2 linked regions of the Astyanax mexicanus genome follow. The protein of the gene in region 1 interacts with the protein of each later gene in a pairwise test. Links are inferred from orthologs where the notes say so. Each region holds a gene or a part of one and is shown in the gene's direction. Other genes may lie near its edges.

The links. The genes of interacting proteins can lie anywhere in the genome.
Region 2: the proteins of c8h1orf35 (region 1) and srrm4 interact in binary tests that used the Homo sapiens proteins (3 or more experiments, as listed by UniProt). The link is inferred for Astyanax mexicanus from reciprocal best matches to the Homo sapiens genes C1orf35 and SRRM4.

The regions. Positions count from the first base shown.
Region 1 is NC_064415.1:653,005-664,362, forward strand, and holds the start of c8h1orf35 (multiple myeloma tumor-associated protein 2), read left to right. Parts: upstream 1-7,201; 5' UTR 7,202-7,332; coding exon 7,333-7,429; intron 7,430-7,841; coding exon of another isoform or gene 7,842-7,866; exon of another isoform or gene 7,867-7,991; intron 7,992-9,435; coding exon 9,436-9,583; intron 9,584-10,823; coding exon 10,824-10,869; intron 10,870-10,951; coding exon 10,952-11,031; intron 11,032-11,358. Other genes in the region: guk1a (guanylate kinase), read right to left, coding at 3,571-3,604.
Region 2 is NC_064429.1:38,526,600-38,537,333, forward strand, and holds the start of srrm4 (serine/arginine repetitive matrix protein 4), read left to right. Parts: upstream 1-5,555; 5' UTR 5,556-5,807; coding exon 5,808-5,947; intron 5,948-10,734. UniProt on the Homo sapiens protein: Splicing factor specifically required for neural cell differentiation.

The DNA.
Region 1 (11,358 bases):
GAACCAGAGCTCAGAACCAACAAACAGAACCACAGATCAGAACCAGAGCACAGAGTTCAGAACCAGAGCACAGAACCAGAGCTCAGAACCAGAGCTCAGAGCTCAGAACCAGAGCTCAGAACCAGAGCTCAGAACTCAGAACCAGAGCTCAGAACCAGAGCTCAGAACTCAGAACCAGAGCTCAGAACCAGAGCTCAGAACCAGAGCTCAGAACCAGAGCTCAGAGCTCAGAACCAGAGCTCAGAACCAGAGCTCAGAACTCAGAACCAGAGCTCAGAACCAGAGCTCAGAACCAGAGCTCAGAACTCAGAACCAGAGCTCAGAACCAGAGCTCAGAACCAGAGCTCAGAGCTCAGAACCAGAGCTCAGAACCAGAGCTCAGAACTCAGAACCAGAGCTCAGAACCAGAGCTCAGAACCAGAGCTCAGAACCAGAGCTCAGAGCTCAGAACCAGAGCTCAGAACCAGAGCTCAGAACTCAGAACCAGAGCTCAGAACCAGAGCTCAGAGCTCAGAACCAGAGCTCAGAACCAGAGCTCAAAACTCAGAACCAGAGCTCAGAACCAGAGCTCAGAACCAGAGCTCAGAACTCAGAACCAGAGCTCAGAACCAGAGCTCAGAACCAGAGCTCAGAGCTCAGAACCAGAGCTCAGAACCAGAGCTCAGAACTCAGAACCAGAGCTCAGAACCAGAGCTCAGAACCAGAGCTCAGAACTCAGAACCAGAGCTCAGAACCGCGCTATATAAATAGAACCAGAGCTCAGAACTCAGAACCGGCGCTCAGAACCAGAGCTCAGAACCAGAGCTCAGAGCTCAGAACCAGAGCTCAGAACCAGAGCTCAGAACTCAGAACCAGAGCTCAGAACCAGAGCTCAGAACTCAGAACCAGAGCTCAGAACTCAGAACCAGAGCTCAGAACCGCGCTATATAAATAGAACCAGAGCTCAGACACTATCACATATTTACTACTGTTATAGAGCTTTAGAACACCCAGAACCAGCCCACAGATACTAATTAATCAATCACATCGATCAATACTCTAATTATACTCTAATTATATCACTGAGTACACGCTCAATCAACATCAAACAGCCAATCAGAGCAGCACAGTCAGCAGGCATATGTATATGAACAGCATATATGCAGATACTCAATTATTCTAATGTTATATAGAGTAAATTACATGTAGATTATTCAGTATTTTAAGAAATAAACAGAATATTTTCACACATAACAGTAATATTAGTGATAGGCAGGATGTGGTGTATAAGTGTAATATTAGTGATAGGCAGGAAGTGGTGTATAAGTGTAATATTAGTGATAGGCAGGAAGTGGTGTATAAGTGTAATATTAGTGATAGGCAGAATGTGGTGTATAAGTGTAATATTAGTGATAGGTAGGATGTGGTGTATAAGTGTAATATTAGTGATAGGCAGGATGTGGTGGGTTAGTGTAATATTAGTGATAGGCAGAATGTGGTGTATAAGTGTAATATTAGTGATAGGTAGGATGTGGTGGGTTAGTGTAATATTAGTGATAGGCAGGAAGTGGTGTATAAGTGTAATATTAGTGATAGGCAGGATGTGGTGTATAAGTGTAATATTAGTGATAGGCAGGATGTGGTGGGTTAGTGTAATATTAGTGATAGGCAGGAAGTGGTGTATAAGTGTAATATTAGTGATAGGCAGGATGTGGTGTATAAGTGTAATATTAGTGATAGGTAGGATGTGGTGTATAAGTGTAATATTAGTGATAGGCAGGATGTGGTGTATAAGTGTAATATTAGTGATAGGTAGGATGTGGTGTATAAGTGTAATATTAGTGATAGGCAGGATGTGGTGGGTTAGTGTAATATTAGTGATAGGCAGAATGTGGTGTATAAGTGTAATATTAGTGATAGGTAGGATGTGGTGGGTTAGTGTAATATTAGTGATAGGCAGGAAGTGGTGTATAAGTGTAATATTAGTGATAGGCAGGATGTGGTGGGTTAGTGTAATATTAGTGATAGGCAGGAAGTGGTGTATAAGTGTAATATTAGTGATAGGCAGGATGTGGTGTATAAGTGTAATATTAGTGATAGGCAGGATGTGGTGTATAAGTGTAATATTAGTGATAGGCAGGATGTGGTGTATAAGTGTAATATTAGTGATAGGCAGGATGTGGTGTATAAGTGTAATATTAGTGATAGGCAGGATGTGGTGTATAAGTGTAATATTAGTGATAGGCAGGAAGTGGTGTATAAGTGTAATATTAGTGATAGGCAGAATGTGGTGTATAAGTGTAATATTAGTGATAGGCAGGAAGTGGTGTATAAGTGTAATATTAGTGATAGGCAGGATGTGGTGTATAAGTGTAATATTAGTGATAGGCAGGATGTGGTGAGTATACAGCAGTAATCAGTAGCGGGTGGGTGTAATAAGGGGTCTGGTGAGGCTGCATGTGAGATGAGTTAGTTCACTATTAGATTAGTGTAATTTACAGCACACTGCAGCTCCACACTACTCTCAGTAATTACACTGTAATTAACCCTGAACTGCGACACAAAGACCAAATCCAGCACTTTACACTTCAGATAAACCGTACGTACGAAGCTATACACACAATTATACACATAAACACAAATATACTATCAGTGATCAGTCAGAGTGTCTACCTGTATATAACCCAAATATACATCAAAACTATATACAATCAAGCCATGAGACTAGAACTGAGACCACAGGCTATACACTACAAACACAAGACTATACACTGACATATACTAATGATAATATACACAGTAACTAAGCCATGAGACTATATCTCATATACACTGCAGCCACAAGGCTATACACTGACCTAAAGACTACTTACAACAACACTATATACACTGACCTCAAGAAAACTTACAAGACTATATACACTAACCTCAACATTATATGCATCAACTTCAGGTCTACAGACCTCAACACTATATACAAGACTATATACACGAACGTCAATATTATATAAGACTATATACACACAGACCTCAACACTATATACACAAACCTAAACAGTATATACACTAACCTCATGACTATTTATAAGATTATATACACCAACCACAAAACTATATACACAAAAACCTCACAAATATATACACTAACTTCAACAATATATACACACAGACCTCAAGATTATATACACTAACCTCAACACTATATACAAGATTTTATACACAAAGACCTCAAGATTACATGTGCACAGACATCAACACTATATACACACAGACCTTAAGACTATATACACAAGATTGTATACACACAGACCTCAACACTACATACAAACAGACCTTGAGACTATATACTGCCAACTGGTGATACCCCGGTATTTTGAATGAAACTGTTAAGGTGGAATGATTTAAGGTGGAATGAGCACTAATAGTAAGGGAGCTCCACGGTGTGTATAAATATAAACGTAACGTCATCATATGTATATAGATTTAAAATACCTCCTCAGTGTAGTTAAACTACCCCCATTTAAAAGCCCTGCGGAAGAGTGGGAGAACTACCCTTCCTCCCTTTAGATGAGGTTCTGATGAGGTTCTGACCTGAGAAGGTTCTGCAGAGGGTTCTGAGGAACATCAGGCTCCTCCAGCAGCAGCGCGAGCTCCTCTCTCTACCGCTCGCTCTCCTCCGCGAGCGCCATTACCGACGTCACCGGCCCGGAAGCGTGTGTAACTCCCCGCAGCCGCCGCGCGCCTCCCGCACCGCCCCGCACCCTCCGAACAATACCCCGCATAGCTAAACCCGCCCACTCAGCCCGGGCGCGCTCCATCACACGCACTCGGGGTCTAAGTAGGGCACCTAAGTAGTGTGCAAAACTGAAGCGCGCTTTATCTAAGGAAAGGAAGTTAAGGAAAATTCTGTAAATCACTGTCACATCTACTCTATGGAAGCCCATTCCCGCCACCTAAAAAAAATAAATAATCCAGCAAAATGTTTTTTTATTATTATTAAGTAAACTGCTATCTCAATATTTTGAGATACTATCTCAATATTTTGAGATACTAAGTCAATATTTTGAGATACTAAGTCAATATTTTGAGATACTAAGTCAATATTTTGAGATACTAAGTCAATATTTTGAGATACTATCTCAATATTTTGAGATACTATCTCAATATTTTGAGATACTATCTCAATATTTTGAGATACTAAGTCAATATTTTGAGATACTAAGTCAATATTTTGAGATACTAAGTCAATATTTTGAGATACTATCTCAATATTTTGAGATAGTATCTCAATATTTTGAGATACTAAGTCAATATTTTGAGATACTATCTCAATATTTTGAGATACTAGGCTGTACAGAGACAGAAGCAGGTGAGACAAAGATGCAAAATGGATACCATCATTGAGGACTACTTCAGACGTGGATTCACAAATCATGAAATATTGGAACTTTTAGAGGAATCACACAATATCAAAATAAGCCTCCGGATCTTGGACGAGGCTGAAGTTAGCTTCTTATTCGCCAGTGTCTTATTCAGATTTCCGTTCCACCTTAAATACTGGCTGAACATACATGCGGCCGCCTGTAGATGTCGCATTTTAACAGTAAAAAACAGCATGTAAGCAAAGTGCTGTGAAAACGCTCTGAATAAAGGGGAGAACACAATGCGAGGGACAGAGTTTAACTCTGAGTGAAATATAATGTAAATAAAATTAAATATGAATTAAAACGTTATTGCTCTCACTTTTGGCCTAATTCCCAGGTCATTATCTACAGGTGGCCGCATGTATATTCAGCCAGCATTTAAGGTATCTCAAAATATTGACTTAGTATCTCAAAATATTGACTTAGTATCTCAAAATATTGACTTAGTATCTCAAAATATTGAGATAGTATCTCAAAATATTGACTTAGTATCTCAAAATATTGACTTAGTATCTCAAAATATTGACTTAGTATCTCAAAATATTGAGATAGTATCTCAAAATATTGACTTAGTATCTCAAAATATTGAGATAGCAATTTACTTAATAATAATAAAAAAAAATTGCTGGAGTATTTTTATTTTTTAGGTGGCGGGAATGGGCTTCCATACAATCGTGCTTTTTAATGCCCATGACCCAGCACAAATACTGTGCTAAAATTGCCACCAAACTCACATGTATGCAGACGGAGATCCGATTCAGATGTGACTGGTTGCTGAGATTCATTTAATAACACACTGGACTATTTTAGCGTGTTAAAGAGTGTGGCTGTGGCTCCGACTATGCTGTATGTTATATATGGTAGGTAGGCTTCACTGGAGGAAAAAAAACGTTTTTTTTTTTTCTTTACAAAAGCAAACACACTTGCTATCTCAAAATATTGACTTAGTATCTCAAAATATTGACTTAGTATCTCAAAATATTGACTTAGTATCTCAAAATATTGAGATACTATCTCAAAATATTGACTTAGTATCTCAAAATATTGAGATAGTATCTCAAAATATTGACTTAGTATCTCAAAATATTGACTTAGTATCTCAAAATATTGAGATACTATCTCAAAATATTGACTTAGTATCTCAAAATATTGAGATAGTATCTCAAAATATTGACTTAGTATCTCAAAATATTGACTTAGTATCTCAAAATATTGACTTAGTATCTCAAAATATTGACTTAGTATCTCAAAATATTGAGATAGTATCTCAAAATATTGACTTAGTATCTCAAAATATTGAGATAGCAATTTACTTAATAATAATAAAAAAAAATTGCTGGAGTATTTTTATTTTTTAGGTGGCGGGAATGGGCTTCCATACAATCGTGCTTTTTAATGCCCATGACCCAGCACAAATACTGTGCTAAAATTGCCACCAAACTCACATGTATGCAGACGGAGATCCGATTCAGATGTGACTGGTTGCTGAGATTCATTTAATAACACACTGGACTATTTTAGCGTGTTAAAGAGTGTGGCTGTGGCTCCGACTATGCTGTATGTTATATATGGTAGGTAGGCTTCACTGGAGGAAAAAAAACGTTTTTTTTTTTTCTTTACAAAAGCAAACACACTTGCTATCTCAAAATATTGACTTAGTATCTCAAAATATTGACTTAGTATCTCAAAATATTGAGATACTATCTCAAAATATTGACTTAGTATCTCAAAATATTGAGATAGTATCTCAAAATATTGACTTAGTATCTCAAAATATTGACTTAGTATCTCAAAATATTGAGATACTATCTCAAAATATTGACTTAGTATCTCAAAATATTGAGATAGTATCTCAAAATATTGAGATAGTATCTCAAAATATTGACTTAGTATCTCAAAATATTGACTTAGTATCTCAAAATATTGAGATACTATCTCAAAATATTGACTTAGTATCTCAAAATATTGAGATAGTATCTCAAAATATTGACTTAGTATCTCAAAATATTGACTTAGTATCTCAAAATATTGAGATAGTATCTCAAAATATTGACTTAGTATCTCAAAATATTGACTTAGTATCTCAAAATATTGACTTAGTATCTCAAAATATTGAGATAGTATCTCAAAATATTGACTTAGTATCTCAAAATATTGAGATAGTATCTCAAAATATTGACTTAGTATCTCAAAATATTGAGATAGCAATTTACTTAATAATAATAAAAAAAAAATGCTGGAGTATTTTTATTTTTTAGGTGGCGGGAATGGGCTTCCATACTACTGAGATTCTATATATTGAAAATTAAAAAATAAAACATTCATTTCTGCAGTTATCACCATTACTGAGGTCATGAACCTTTATTGTACGATAAGCCGATAATCATCATAACATGCCTATTTGTTTATTAATATATTTAAATTTATAAACAGTATAGCCTGTCGCGATAATAAATTGATTTATTGTACAATAAATATACATGACCTTAACCTTCCTGTTATATGTTTCTTTTTATAATTTATGTTACTTACTTATAATAATAATATATATATATATATATATATATATATATATATATATATATATATATATATATATATATATAAATGATAGACATTGCCTAATATAGTGAGTCTAAGTGGTGCAGCCTTGCTTACAAAATATTATGAATTCAGTTTAAAACTTTAAGTTTAAAATAAATAAGTAAATAAATAAGTAAGTAAATAAGTAAGTAAGTGTGGATTGGAGGGAAGTGCGCACTTCGTTGCCCCCTTGTTCCCTCGCTCCCTCAGAGTACCCGGATGTAAAGCGCTGCGGCTCCAGCTAGCGGCGGCTGTGTGAAGTGCAGCTCCGCGGACACACGGTCCGGATCCGGAGCGCTAGCGGGCTAAACCCGAACCGAACCCGGCAGAACTCTCCAGAACCAGCATGTTCGGCTCGTCCCGGTCCGGAGGAGTGCGCGGCGGACAGGACCAGTTCAACTGGGACGATGTTAAAGCGGATAAACACCGGGAGAACTACCTGGGTGAGGACCCGGCTAACGGCTAACATAACCTGGCTTTAGCTTTAGTTTAGCTTAGCATGGGCTAGCCTAGCTTTAGCTTATTTTAGCTTAGCATAGTTCTGCACACTGTAGCAGCTGCTGGTACAGCATGTTGCATGTTAGCTAGCCTAGCATAGCCTAGCCTAGCCTATTTTAGCATAGCCATCAACTCACTGAGCTCCAGTTAGAGCAGATTAATCTAAGATTAAAGTTTAAAAGCTTTAAAATTCGTAAAATTAATATTAAAACTTATTTTATAGTTTAATAAGTGAACAGTGTTGATAAAGTGGTGAAAGTCCCGGATGTAGGAGACTCCTGCTGTCTCTGTCAGAAAGTGAAAGTGTGGAGTTTTAATATAATAATCCAGTTTAATCTGTAATAATCCGGAGTTTACCTGCTCCCCCGGGCTTCTCTCTCATTCCACAGCCCGGTTCCGGTTCGGTTCTGGTTCTGGTGGTTCTGGTTCAGGTTCTGGTTCAGGTTTGGTGGAGCTGTGCTGCTCCTCCTCTCCGGACTTTTAACTTCTATCCAGCTCTGCTGATCTAACAGCAGATCCCTGAGGGGAGGGGGGAGCAGGGGGCACCATACTCTTTAATCATGCTTACATTATCAGATTAACAAACACATTTAATATCAGGTAAAAAATAACCTGAGTAAATATAAAAAGCACTTTTTAAATTATAATTTCATTTATTAAGGGAAAAAATGACCCAGACCACCCTGACTCTTTAGCTTTAGTTTTAGTTCCACTCTTCTTTACAGAATTACAGTTTTAATTCAGACACATTGGAAAATTTTCCAGCATAAAAGTCCTGTTTAAGATCATCCACAGCATCTCAATCAATTAGACTTTAACTAGACCCTCCAAAACCTTCATTTAGTTTTTAACCCATTCAGAGACAGTGAACCTGTTGTTTGTGTGCTTTGGGTCATTGTCCTGCTGCAGAATCCAAGTACTCCTGAGCTTGAGGATCACTAAGGAACAGATGGAGGATTCTGATTCTCCTTCAGGATTTTCTGATAAACAGCAGAATTCCTGCTTCCATCAATTACATCATTAAGTTGTCCAGCATCTCCAGATCTTTGTCTGTATTTTGATCAATACAATATAATTCCAATTTTGATATTAACAGTATACAGGGTATCTGCAGATCCTTACAAACCATTACATTCATTTATCTAAAAACAAGACCTTAAAATGTCTTAAAATGCCACAGACATTAAAGGACTTTTGTGGAATAGCCAACCTCCGTTTTCCCCAAGAATTCCCAAATACAGCACTCTTAGCTGATGCTCCCAACAGTCTCACAATGCTAGTAATGGGGGCATAGAGTTATCATGCAAAGAAATGGCTATTTTTGCACTGTTATCAAGCTTTAAGTATCTCCACACTTCATTGGTAGAATCTTAATAGCGTTGTAAAGCTGTTGGCAGCATCGGCTAAAAGTGCTGTATTTGGGAATGCTGAGGGGAGAATGGAGGTGGGCTATTTGACATACGTTTGTACTCATTATCATGTTTCACTGCAACCAAAAACCACTTCATAGTGTGTTTCTCCTTGTCTGCATCCTTTAAGACCTTTGGAAAACGGATTCAGGTGGTTTTAAGGTCTTGTTTTTGCAATTTTTGATTAAGGTAAATACTGTATTTCCCCATACAGATATTCATCCTCGTGCTAAAATACTGAGTACTGGCCTAATCCTAATCCTAAAGAACATTACATCAGTCTGACTATCTGAATACTGATTAATTCTAAGAGTTTTTTAATGCTGAATGTAAACACATATTGATCCTGATCCAATGTAATTACGTTAAAAATGGTGTGATTTTTTTAAAACTACAGATAATAATGTAAAATTTTAGATAGTAAGTAATTGTACAGTTTGTTTATATATTCATATTATTATATAAAATATTTAGTTTCTTGTTTTGTTTATATTTTGCTGTTTTGACGCTGGTGTGTGTGTTTGTTGTTGTTGTTATTGTAGGGAACTCCCTCATGGCCCCGGTTGGCCGCTGGCAGAAGGGGCGGGACCTGACCTGGTACGCGAAAGATAAGCAGGGAGAGAGAGTGTCGCGAGAGCAGGAGCTGGCGGCCGTGCGAGAGGCGGAGAGAGAGGCCATGATGGCAGCGCTGTACGTCCCTCACCCACACCTCCATCAGAGATCAGACTAATTACTCTCATCAGTCTGATTATTAACACACACACACACACACATACACTAATATGTTCAACATACAGCTCTGTAATAAATGAAGAGAGCACTTCTTCAGTTTCTGTATCACTTTCTCTGATTTTACTATTTATAGGTTTATATTTGAGTAAAATGAACATTTTCTCAGGTGAGGATCTGTGATTAATCCACTGTAGCTGGTTTCCTGCTTTATTTCTCTTTAGTTTTCAGTTCTGTAGTATAATCCAGTGTCTGAGGAGAGCTCTGTGTCGTCTCTGAGTTTCCCTACGGCTGAGTTTAGATTTACACCAGATCAGAGCCTCATATAAACACATGGGCTCATAAACAATGTTCTGAATCATTGATTCCAATCTGCTTTCGATTCCTGAACCGATTCACTCATCTTCCACGATCACTTATCGTGTAAAAGTTCCTCAAAGCCTTAAAGCGTACAAAAATGGCTCACATGATAATTACGATAATATCAGCAGATTTTGAACGTTTTAATGTGTTTTTGCTTTTAAATGACTTATTATTAAATGAATCAAACCACAGTAATCGACAAATATTTAAACATCATTTTGTAGCTTTTCTTTAGGTTTTAGGTTTTGCTGTGGTATTGTTATAGAATCTGTACTAACATATTTAGTTTTTTTTTTTATTTTTTTATTTTATTATAAGTTTTTCTCGTTTTTTTTTTTTTTTTTTTTAAAGATTGAGTCAATTGAACCACAGAAAAATGATCAGTATGAATCCAAACCTTTGCCCCAAACGAGTGTTGAATATTGAGTATTATTAAAAACATTAATCTGTGAGATCTGGTTGCAAATACAAAGATTAAGTGATTATAAAATAAATTCCATAAACATATTATTTTCCTCCTTGAAATTATGAATAAACATAATCACATTATTAAACTTTTCTGCTTTTTTGTTTCTTTTATTTAATTTTTTTTTTAGTTTCACATCAGATCTTCTATTATTTTATTTATTTCTGATGTTTAAGGTGGTTGACGTGGTATCGTTTCAGTATCTGTATTGAGATATTTAGGGAGGTGTTTTATCAAAACGTATAATATATATTTATTAAACAGTATAATTTATTAATAATTATTATTAAAGGGCTGTAAGTATATATTTCATGGTGTATATATCCTGCAGTATGTATTGTCTGAGTGTTATTTGTGTGTGTTTGTGTTTAGGGGTCATAAAACAGTGCAGAGACGGCCGGCCGGAGTCACTAAAGAGGTTTGTGTTTATATAAACTCTGCTGTCGTATACTGTATACGCTCTGGGCTCAGTGGTTCTGATTCTGGTTGTGGTTCTGCAGGATCTGGCGGAGGTCTGCCGGAGGGACGGAGACGCTGAGGAGCGCAGTGTGGACCGAGTCTCTGGACTGGGAAGCTCCAGGTAAACAGAATTAACACTATAGAATATATAACTAAATATATAACTATATATCAGTACTTTTCTAAGTTTCTACAGTACCAGTCCAAAGTTTAAACACCTTAAATTCAGTGTTTTCATTATATTAACATGTTTTGCACTGTAGATTAATACTAAACTCATCCAAACTATGAAGAACAATATATAGAATGATTTACTAAATCTATCTCCTCTTGTTTAGATGATCAGTTTTGAACATCTCTGCTGGATTTTCTCAGTCAGTTTTATGAGGTAGAGTCTCCTGGAATTCAGGCTTTCAGTTAACAGCTGTGCTGAACTCATCAAGAGTTA
Region 2 (10,734 bases), on another chromosome or scaffold:
TTTGTGCTGATAAAGTCAGGTTGCTCTCCTGTTCGAGCGTTTAAGTCCCCACAGATCATTACATGGCCTTGAGTTTGGAAATGACTAATTTCGCTTTCTAAATTTTGGAAGGTTTCTTCTTTAAAATAGGGGGATTCTGCTGGGGGGATGTATATTGCACAAATAAATAAATTTTGGGGGGTTGAAATTGCCTGTTTGTTAAGTTTTATCCACAAATAATCTTCTCCTTTTTTTACTATTTCTATAGAATTTGTTAGTTCTGATTTAAACCAAATAAGCATTCCCCCCGAGTCCCTACCCTGAGAAACGCCTGTTAACTTGGTGGAAGGAATAACCAATTCTCTGTGGTCTGGAGGACAACCAGTGGGACCGTCTCCTTTACACCATGTCTCCTGCAGTACCAAAATATCAATATCCTTAATTTCATTTATAAATTCAGGGTTTCTGCTTTTTAAATTAAAAAGAGAAGAGTTCAAACCCTGAATGTTCCAAACTGAAATTTGAAATGATGCCATTCTTAATGAAATAAAAGGTATGCTATTCTAATCATAGACCATGTCCCATCAGACGTGTGCAGATGTGACTGAGCATCTGCTGTATGTCTCTGAGTTCGGACACATTAGCGCTTGCTGTTCCTCTGACGACCTGAGCGTAGGTCAGGGGTCCAGGCCTGGTCTGGAGCTGCTGGGTAGTTGATGGTGGGACTGGTGCATGGGGGGAACCTGTGGTGTGTGCTGGTGCTGTTGTATGTGCAGGAACAGGGTTCCTCTGGATTCTCCTCTGCATGCCTGGCTGTGGTGGGTGATGGTAGGTGTGGTGCTGAGGTGTCTGATGGGGGGCTTGTGATGCTCCTCCTCCAGGTCTTGGGGTGTGTTGTGATGACCGTGTTCTCTTGAGGTTTTGTTCAGCAGTGTACTGGATAGCCCTGCGGGTCAGTGCAATGTCCTTCAGCGTTTTTGCAAATGTAGGCACTACATTTTTAAAAAGGTGGACGTGATCATAGAGGCAGGTGGTATCCAGAGTCGGGTGATGGGCCAGGTGGGTGTTTGGCCGGAGAGCACATTCCCTGGAGATGCTGGCGTTGATTTTCTGGATGGTGTAAGGGTGAAAATCTTTGCGAGGCAGCAGTGTTGAGATGATAATTTTTGAATTAGAGAAGGTGTTGTTGGCCTTCTCGATTACTGCTCTCAGGGAGGTGGCCACTCTCTCTTGCTGACTCCGGAGGTCGTTTGTCCCGGTGTGGATTATAATGTGGGTCGGTGACCCTAGTTTTTCTTCTGTGAGGAGCTCCAGTGCTTTTTTAGTGGTTGGGCACCAGAGTTTTACCACTCTGTGTTTGGGAAATAGTTTTTTCTCATTAATGAATTTCCCGTTGGAATCGATTAACAGAGCAATGTCACATTGCCCTGGATTTCCCTCCTCTCTCTCAGTTTCCTGGATGTTGGACTCCACATGTGCTTGCTGACTGGGTGGAGTCTGCTGAGAACTGGTGACTGGAGCAAGTGAAGGCTGTTGAGAGTCGATGGTTGGAGCAAGTGGAGGTGGTTGAGAGTTGGTGGAGGTTGAGGGTGAGGGCTGAAGTTGGGTGGTTTGAGCTGATGGAGGGCTCTGATGTTGACTGAAGGAGAGCAGCTGTTGTGTCAGACTCTGTACTGTGCTGTCTCTCTGCTTTAGCTCCTCTCTCAATGCAGACATCTCCTTTCTGTAGGTGTGTCTGTCCTCCTCTATGATCATTTTTAGATCTTTAACTTGTTCTCTCAGTGCTGTCAACTCTTTTTCGGAGCTGTCCTTGTCCAGCTTTGGTTGATTGTAAGACTGCTGCTTTAGGACCATCTCTCTGAGTTGTACTAACTCGATTTCTAAGCGTGTAAAGTGCTCTTTCATTGAGGTGATGGAGGTGTAAAGTGAAGTCTGCTGGTTCTGTTCTGTGTCCTCCTGCTCCTGAGCTGGGGGCTCTGGGGGGTCTGTTGTAGTGTTCTGTAGATCTGCCTTGTCTTCCTGCAGTGTGTTTACAGTGAACTTTTCTTTCTTTGCAATTTCTTTAAGATTATTAAAAGAGTCCTGGAACACACTGGGGTTTCCCTGCACCATGACAGTACCATTTTTATAAATGTTCACTGTGGCCATAATTGTCTCTGTGTCTGTTGGGTCCTTTATTTTTATTTTCCACCCATTACAGATCCCTTCTTTTTTCACAGAGGAGTAGTGACTTAGCAGAGCTTTATGCCATGAGCTGGGGTGTTCTGAATAAAAGATAAGATTGCTGACTTCCCCAGTCTTATAAAAATCAGCAAACAGAGTTTCAGGATTCTCCTTTAGCAGATTCTGTTTAAACTGTTTCCTGGCCGTTTCACTTTTCAGTTCAGGAGGGTAAATGACAGGGCAGTACTGTACTGGGCCACAGAGTTGATCCACATCCTCCACAGGGCAGAGAGGGACAGGGGACAGTTCTGATTGGCTCATCCTGGACACCTTATATGGGTAACTGATGGCTCGGAATGTTGAGGGGTTTTGATTGTCAACCCTCCAACTGTCACTTTAGCTTTAGCATTTAGCTCATATTCATAGCTAAAACGCTTAAATATAGTATTTCTTCCTCTTATTTTCAATGTTTTTAGTGAAAATGTCACTCACAGTACTGCAGATGCTGTTTGTTGAAAGTTCTGATAGAGATGTATGTTCCTCTCAGTTTCTCCCTCCTGTAGTGATCTCTCTCTCTCCCTGCTCTGCTTTGCCTGAAGGTGAAGTCTCTTCTTGTTTTGATTCAATATCTTTCAAATATCTTATTGAATTTCTTGATTTCTGTCCTAAATATTTTACTTTTTACTTGAATTTACGTTATCCAAGTATTATTACAGATTTTCTTAATGTTTCTCTCACTTTAAAACAAAAAAAAAGAGAAAAATCTGGGAGCTCACACAGATATGACTTATCCTTAGAACCTCTATACCTCTCTCTCTCTCTCTCTCTCTGTGTTTAGGAGTGAAGCTCTCTCTCACTCACTCTCTATCTCTCTCTCTCTCTCTCTCACTCTATCTCTCTCTCTCACTCTCTCACTCTATCTCTCTCTCTCTCTCTCTCTCTCTCACTCTATCTCTCTCTCTCACTCTCTCACTCTATCTCTCTCTCTCTCTCTCTCACTCTATCTCTCTCTCTCACTCTCTCACTCTATCTCTCTCTCTCTCTCTCTCTCTCTCACTCTATCTCTCTCTCTCACTCTCTCACTCTATCTCTCTCTCTCTCTCTCTCTCTCTCTCACTCACTCTCTATCTCTCTCTCTCACTCTCTCTCTCTCTCTCTCTCTCACTCTATCTCTCTCTCTCACTCTCTCTCTCTCTCTCTCTCTCACTCTATCTCTCTCTCTCACTCTCTCACTCTATCTCTCTCTCTCTCTCTCTCTCTCTCTCTCTCTCTCTCACTCACTCTCTATCTCTCTCTCTCACTCTCTCTCTCTATCTCTCTCTCTCACTCTCTCTCTCTATCTCTCTCTCTCACTCACTCTCTATCTCTCTCTCTCACTCTCTCTCTCTATCTCTCTCTCTCTCTCTCTCTCTCTCACTCACTCTCTATCTCTCTCACTCTCTCTCTCTCTCTATCTCTCTCTCTCACTCACTCTCTATCTCTCTCACTCTCTCTCTCTCTCTATCTCTCTCTCTCTCTCTCTCTCTCTCACTCACTCTCTATCTCTCTCTCTCACTCTCTCTCTCTATCTCTCTCTCTCTCTCTCTCTCACTCACTCTCTATCTCTCTCTCTCACTCTCTCTCTCTATCTCTCTCTCTCACTCAAATTCAAATTCAAATTCAAATTGGCTTTATTAGCATGACTGTTTTAAAAAAAAACAATGTTGCCAAAGCACACAAATATCACAACCGAACCTATAGTGAAACAACGATGAAACATAAACATCAATTAATTAAAGAAAGAATAATAATAATAATAATAATAATAATAATAAAAATAATAATAAAAAAATCACAATAATAATAATAACAACAATGATGATAATAGTAAAAACAACAATAATAATAACAATAGTAATAATAAAAAAATTATAGTGATTATAATGATCAAGTATAATAATATTAACAGTTGTTTATTAGGGGAGGTAGTTATTAGGGGAGTTACTAACAACTCTCTCACTCTCTCTCTCTATCTCTCTCTCTCACTCTCTCACTCTCTCTCTCTCTCTCTCTCTCTCTCTCTTCCTTTACAAAATACAGGATTTTAGTTCCGACAAGATAGGTGTTCCTAATGATCTGGCAATTAAGTAAAAGCACAAGGTGATAGGTGTTCCTAATAAAGTGGCAAATAAATGGAAACTCAAATTGGTAGGTGTTTCTAATTAACTGGATTAACTGGCCAGTGGTGGGACTAGGAGGTTGTTTTGGTGTTTCTAATAAAGTGGCAAATAAGTGGAAATAAGTGTTACGTGTTCCTAATGATCTAATAAGTAGTGAGACCAGATGGTACTTCATTGTTTCTATTAAACTGGCCAGAGATAATAAGCAGAAGGTGGTAGTAGGTGTTCCTAATGATCTGGCTAGTTGTTGAACTAGGAGGTACTTGGGTGTTTCTAATAAAGTGGCCAGTGAGGGGAGGGGGTAGTGGCAGGTGGTTTGGGGGGGGGGGGGGGGGTGGTGCAAAGGATCTAAGAGAGATACACAATAGAAAAAGGTCAGTGTGTGTGTGTGTGTAGAGTGTGTGTGTGCGCAGGTGCAGTTGGGGGGGGGGGGGGGTATTGTGGGTAATGTTCCGTCTGCTGCCCCCCCTCAGCTCTATTGTTATGCTGATTAAGGGAAGAGGATAAGAAAGAGAGAGATAAACTACAACAAAGAGTTTTAGAAAAAAGCACTTTAAATAAAGAATAATCACTGTAATGTGTTATATTATATTTTATATTATATTATATATTATTTCCGAATTTAAAGATAAACGGACTAATAGAAATGTTCAGAAATTAATTGGTCGGAATTAAATCTTCCTACATTTGCTTCCATTAAAAGATAAGAAGTTTTTTTGTTCTCCTGAAAAACTTATTCTAAATAAAATAATAAGAGTAAAGAATATCACAGTTTGCCAGACACATGTAAACAATAAACGGGCTGTGTCCCAATCCCCCACCTGCTCACTATATAGTGCACATGTGCTGTTCTGCCTGTGTGTAGTGATGTAGTGAGTAAACTGGGTTTAGATACTCACTGATGTAGAGACCTGGAGTCTGAGGAGAAACGAACAGAGAGAGAGAGAGAGAGAGAGAGAGAGAGAGAGAGAGAGAGAGAGAGAGAGAGAGAGAGAGAGAACTATACAAAGAGAGATATACAAATAGAAAGAGAGAGACAGAGAGATATACTGAGAGAGACACTGTGTGTATTTGTGTTTATGTGTGTGTGTGTGTGTGTGTGTGTGTGTGTGTGTGTATAATGTGTGTATAGTGTGTGTGTGTGTATAAAAAAGTGTGTGTGTGTGTGTGTGTGTGTGTCTGACCCCACCTCCTTTTCTACGTCACTGGCTGCTCCTGACAAAACCAGCCTCCATCAGCTGGACCCCCCCACACACACACACACTCTCCCGCGCGCGCACTGCCCGCAACAGCTTACACAGCACGCGCGCTCACACTATCTCTCTCTCTCACACACACACACACAATACACACACACACACACAGAGTCGCGCGCGCTCAGTAGGAGCAGCAGTAGGAGGCACGTGCTGCTGGGCTTCAGCACCGGGACAGCTCCCGTGCGCGCGCTCTAGTCCCCCGTGCTCCGGTCCGCCGTTGCCCCCTGCGCGCGGGCGCGGGGCTGTTGCCATGGCCACCGTGCTGCAGGGTCAGAAGCAGCTCCTGGAGAAGTTTTGGAGAGGCGCGTGCAGAGCCGTAACCACGCCCCGCCCGGAGAGCGTCATCATCGCCAGCATCGCCGCGCGCAGAGCGCTCAGCAGCAGCAGCGCGTGAGTTCAGCACCTCTCACCTTACCTACAACCTGCGCGCGCGCGCGCGAGTGTGTGTGTGTGTGTGTGTATTTCGTGATGATCGCTACCGGCTGCGTCTGGTTCCAATTGTCTTTGTGAAAAACGCTCAGCAACATGCGTTCTTTAGGTTCCATGGGGCATGGCAAAAATCATGGGACCCCATACTATTCCCTGTCCCAATACTTTTGCCATTTCACACACAATGGTATTGTTGGACTACAGTGTTTTGGACTGGACCGGTACCAGGTTCTGATATTGAACAAACATTTATACCATTTCATCCTAATATACCCTTAATACACCATAAACAGCTCTATAAAAAGTGAAAAGATCACTTCAGTTTCTGAATCAGTTTCTCTGATTTAGCTATTTATAGGTTTATGTTTGAGTAAAATGAACATTGTTGTTTTATTCTATAAACTACAGACAACATTTCTCCCAAATTACAAATAAAAATATTCTCATTTAGAGCATTTATTTACAGAAAATGAGAAATGACTGAAATAACAAAAAAGATGCAGAACTTTCAGACCTCAAATAATGCAAAGAAAACAAGTTCATATTCATAAAGTTTTACGTTTTTCTCTCTCTTTTAAGTTTTAAGAGTTCAGAAATAATCAATATTTGGTGGAATAATCCTGGTTTTTAATCACAGTTTTTTCATGCATCTTGGCATCATGTTCTTCTCCACCAGTCTTACACACTGCTTTTGGATAACTTTATGCTGCTTTACTCCTGGTGTAAAAATTCAAGCAGTTCAGTTTGGTTTGATGAGCTGTACATGGCCAAAAGTATTAAGACTCCTGCTGCTCCAGCTTCCCAATACTTGTATGTTGGATGATGTTGGATGATGCTGGATGATGCTGGATGATGCTGGATAATGTTGGATGATGTTGGATGATGTTGGATGATGCTGGATGATGTTGGATGGTGCTGGATGATGTTTTGGATGATGTTGGATGATGCTGGATAATGTTGGATGATGTTGGATGATGTTGGATGATGCTGGATGATGTTGGATGGTGCTGGATGATGTTGGATGATGTTGGATGATGCTGGATGATGTTGGATGGTGCTGGATGATGTTTTGGATGATGTTGGATGATGCTGGATAATGTTGGATGATGTTGGATGATGCTGGATGATGTTGGATGATGCTGGGTGATGTTGGATGATGCTGGATGGTGCTGGATGATGTTTTGGATGATGTTGGATGATGCTGGATAATGTTGGATGATGTTGGATGGTGCTGGATGATGTTTTGGATGATGTTGGATGATGCTGGATAATGTTGGATGATGTTGGATGATGTTGGATGATGCTGGATGATGTTGGATGGTGCTGGATGATGTTGGATGATGTTGGATGATGCTGGATGATGTTGGATGGTGCTGGATGATGTTTTGGATGATGTTGGATGATGCTGGATGATGTTGGATGGTGCTGGATGATGTTTTGGATGATGTTGGATGATGCTGGATAATGTTGGATGATGTTGGATGATGCTGGATGATGTTGGATGATGCTGGGTGATGTTGGATGATGCTGGATGGTGCTGGATGATGTTTTGGATGATGTTGGATGATGCTGGATAATGTTGGATGATGTTGGATGATGCTGGATGATGTTGGATGATGTTGGATGATGTTGGATGATGCTGGGTGATGTTGGATGATGCTGGATGGTGCTGGATGATGTTTTGGATGATGTTGGATGATGTTGGATGATGCTGGGTGATGTTGGATGATGTTGGATGATGCTGGATGATGTTGGATGGTGCTGGATGATGTTTTGGATGATGTTGGATTATGTTGGATGATGCTGGATGATGCTGGATGATGTTGAATGATGATGGATGATGCTGGATAATGTTGGATGATGCTGGATGATGTTTTGGATTATGTTGGATGATGCTGGATAATGTTGGATGATGTTGGATGATGTTGGATGATGCTGGATGATGTTGGATGGTGCTGGATGATGTTGGATGATGTTGGATGATGTTGGATGATGTTGGATGATGCTGGATGATGTTGGATGGTGCTGGATGATGTTTTGGATGATGTTGGATGATGCTGGATAATGTTGGATGATGCTGGATGATGTTGGATGATGCTGGATGATGTTGGATGGTGCTGGATGATGTTTTGGATGATGTTGGATGATGCTGGATGATGTTGGATGGTGCTGGATGATGTTTTGGATGATGTTGGATGATGCTGGATAATGTTGGATGATGTTGGATGATGCTGGATGATGTTGGATGATGTTGGATGATGTTGGATGATGCTGGATGGTGCTGGATGATGTTTTGGATGATGTTGGATGATGCTGGATAATGTTGGATGATGTTGGATGATGTTGGATGATGCTGGATGATGTTGGATGATGTTGGATGATGTTGGATGATGCTGGATGATGTTGGATGATGCTGGATGATGTTGGATGGTGCTGGATGATGTTTTGGATGATGGTGGATGATGCTGGATGATGTTGGATGGTGCTGGATGATGTTTTGGATGATGTTGGATGATGCTGGATAATGTTGGATAATGTTGGATGATGCTGGATGATGTTGGATGATGTTGGATGATGTTGGATGATGTTGGATGATGCTGGATGGTGCTGGATGATGTTTTGGATGATGTTGGATGATGCTGGATAATGTTGGATGATGTTGGATGATGCTGGATGATGTTGGATGATGTTGGATGATGCTGGATGATGTTGGATGATGTTGGATGATGTTGGATGATGTTGGATGGTGCTGGATGATGTTTTGGATGATGTTGGATGATGCTGGATAATGTTGGATGATGTTGGATGATGCTGGATGATGTTGGATGATGTTGGATGATGTTGGATGATGCTGGATGGTGCTGGATGATGTTTTGGATGATGTTGGATGATGCTGGATAATGTTGGATGATGTTGGATGATGTTGGATGATGCTGGATGATGTTGGATGATGTTGGATGATGTTGGATGATGCTGGATGATGTTGGATGATGCTGGATGATGTTGGATGGTGCTGGATGATGTTTTGGATGATGGTGGATGATGCTGGATGATGTTGGATGGTGCTGGATGATGTTTTGGATGATGTTGGATGATGCTGGATAATGTTGGATAATGTTGGATGATGCTGGATGATGTTGGATGATGTTGGATGATGTTGGATGATGTTGGATGATGCTGGATGGTGCTGGATGATGTTTTGGATGATGTTGGATGATGCTGGATAATGTTGGATGATGTTGGATGATGCTGGATGATGTTGGATGATGTTGGATGATGCTGGATGATGTTGGATGATGTTGGATGATGTTGGATGATGTTGGATGATGTTGGATGGTGCTGGATGATGTTTTGGATGATGTTGGATGATGCTGGATAATGTTGGATGATGTTGGATGATGCTGGATGATGTTGGATGATGTTGGATGATGTTGGATGATGCTGGATGGTGCTGGATGATGTTTTGGATGATGTTGGATGATGCTGGATAATGTTGGATGATGTTGGATGATGTTGGATGATGCTGGATGATGTTGGATGATGTTGGATGATGTTGGATGATGCTGGATGATGTTGGATGATGCTGGATGATGTTGGATGGTGCTGGATGATGTTTTGGATGATGTTGGATGATGCTGGATGATGTTGGATGGTGCTGGATGATGTTTTGGATGATGTTGGATGATGCTGGATAATGTTGGATGATGTTGGATGATGCTGGATGATGTTGGATGATGTTGGATGATGTTGGATGATGTTGGATGATGCTGGATGGTGCTGGATGATGTTTTGGATGATGTTGGATGATGCTGGATAATGTTGGATGATGTTGGATGATGTTGGATGATGCTGGATGATGTTGGATGATGTTGGATGATGTTGGATGATGCTGGATGATGTTGGATGATGCTGGATGATGTTGGATGATGCTGGATGATGTTGGATGGTGCTGGATGATGTTTTGGATGATGTTGGATGATGCTGGATGATGTTGGATGGTGCTGGATGATGTTTTGGATGATGTTGGATGATGCTGGATAATGTTGGATGATGTTGGATGATGCTGGATGATGTTGGATGATGTTGGATGATGTTGGATGATGCTGGGTGATGTTGGATGATGCTGGATGGTGCTGGATGATGTTTTGGATGATGTTGGATGATGCTGGATAATGTTGGATGATGTTGGATGATGCTGGATGATGTTGGATGATGTTGGATGATGTTGGATGATGCTGGGTGATGTTGGATGATGCTGGATGGTGCTGGATGATGTTTTGGATGATGTTGGATGATGCTGGATTATGTTGGATGATGTTGGATGATGCTGGATGATGTTGGATGATGTTGGATGATGTTGGATGATGCTGGGTGATGTTGGATGATGCTGGATGGTGCTGGATGATGTTTTGGATGATGTTGGATGATGCTGGATTATGTTGGATGATATTGGATGATGTTGGATGATGCTGGGTGATGTTTTGGATGATGTTGGATGATGCTGGATTATGTTGGATGATATTGGATGATGTTGGATGATGTTGGATGATGTTGTATGATGTTGGATGATGCTAGATGATGTTGGATGATGTTGGATGATGCTAAATGATGTTGGATGATGCTGGATGATGCTGGAGGATGTTGGATGATGCTGGATGATGTTGGATGATGCTGGGTGGTGCTCCTGCATCGAGTGTGGGTTTCTGTCGCTTGAGTCCCTTGTCGCCTGGCCTTTCGATGAGAACACT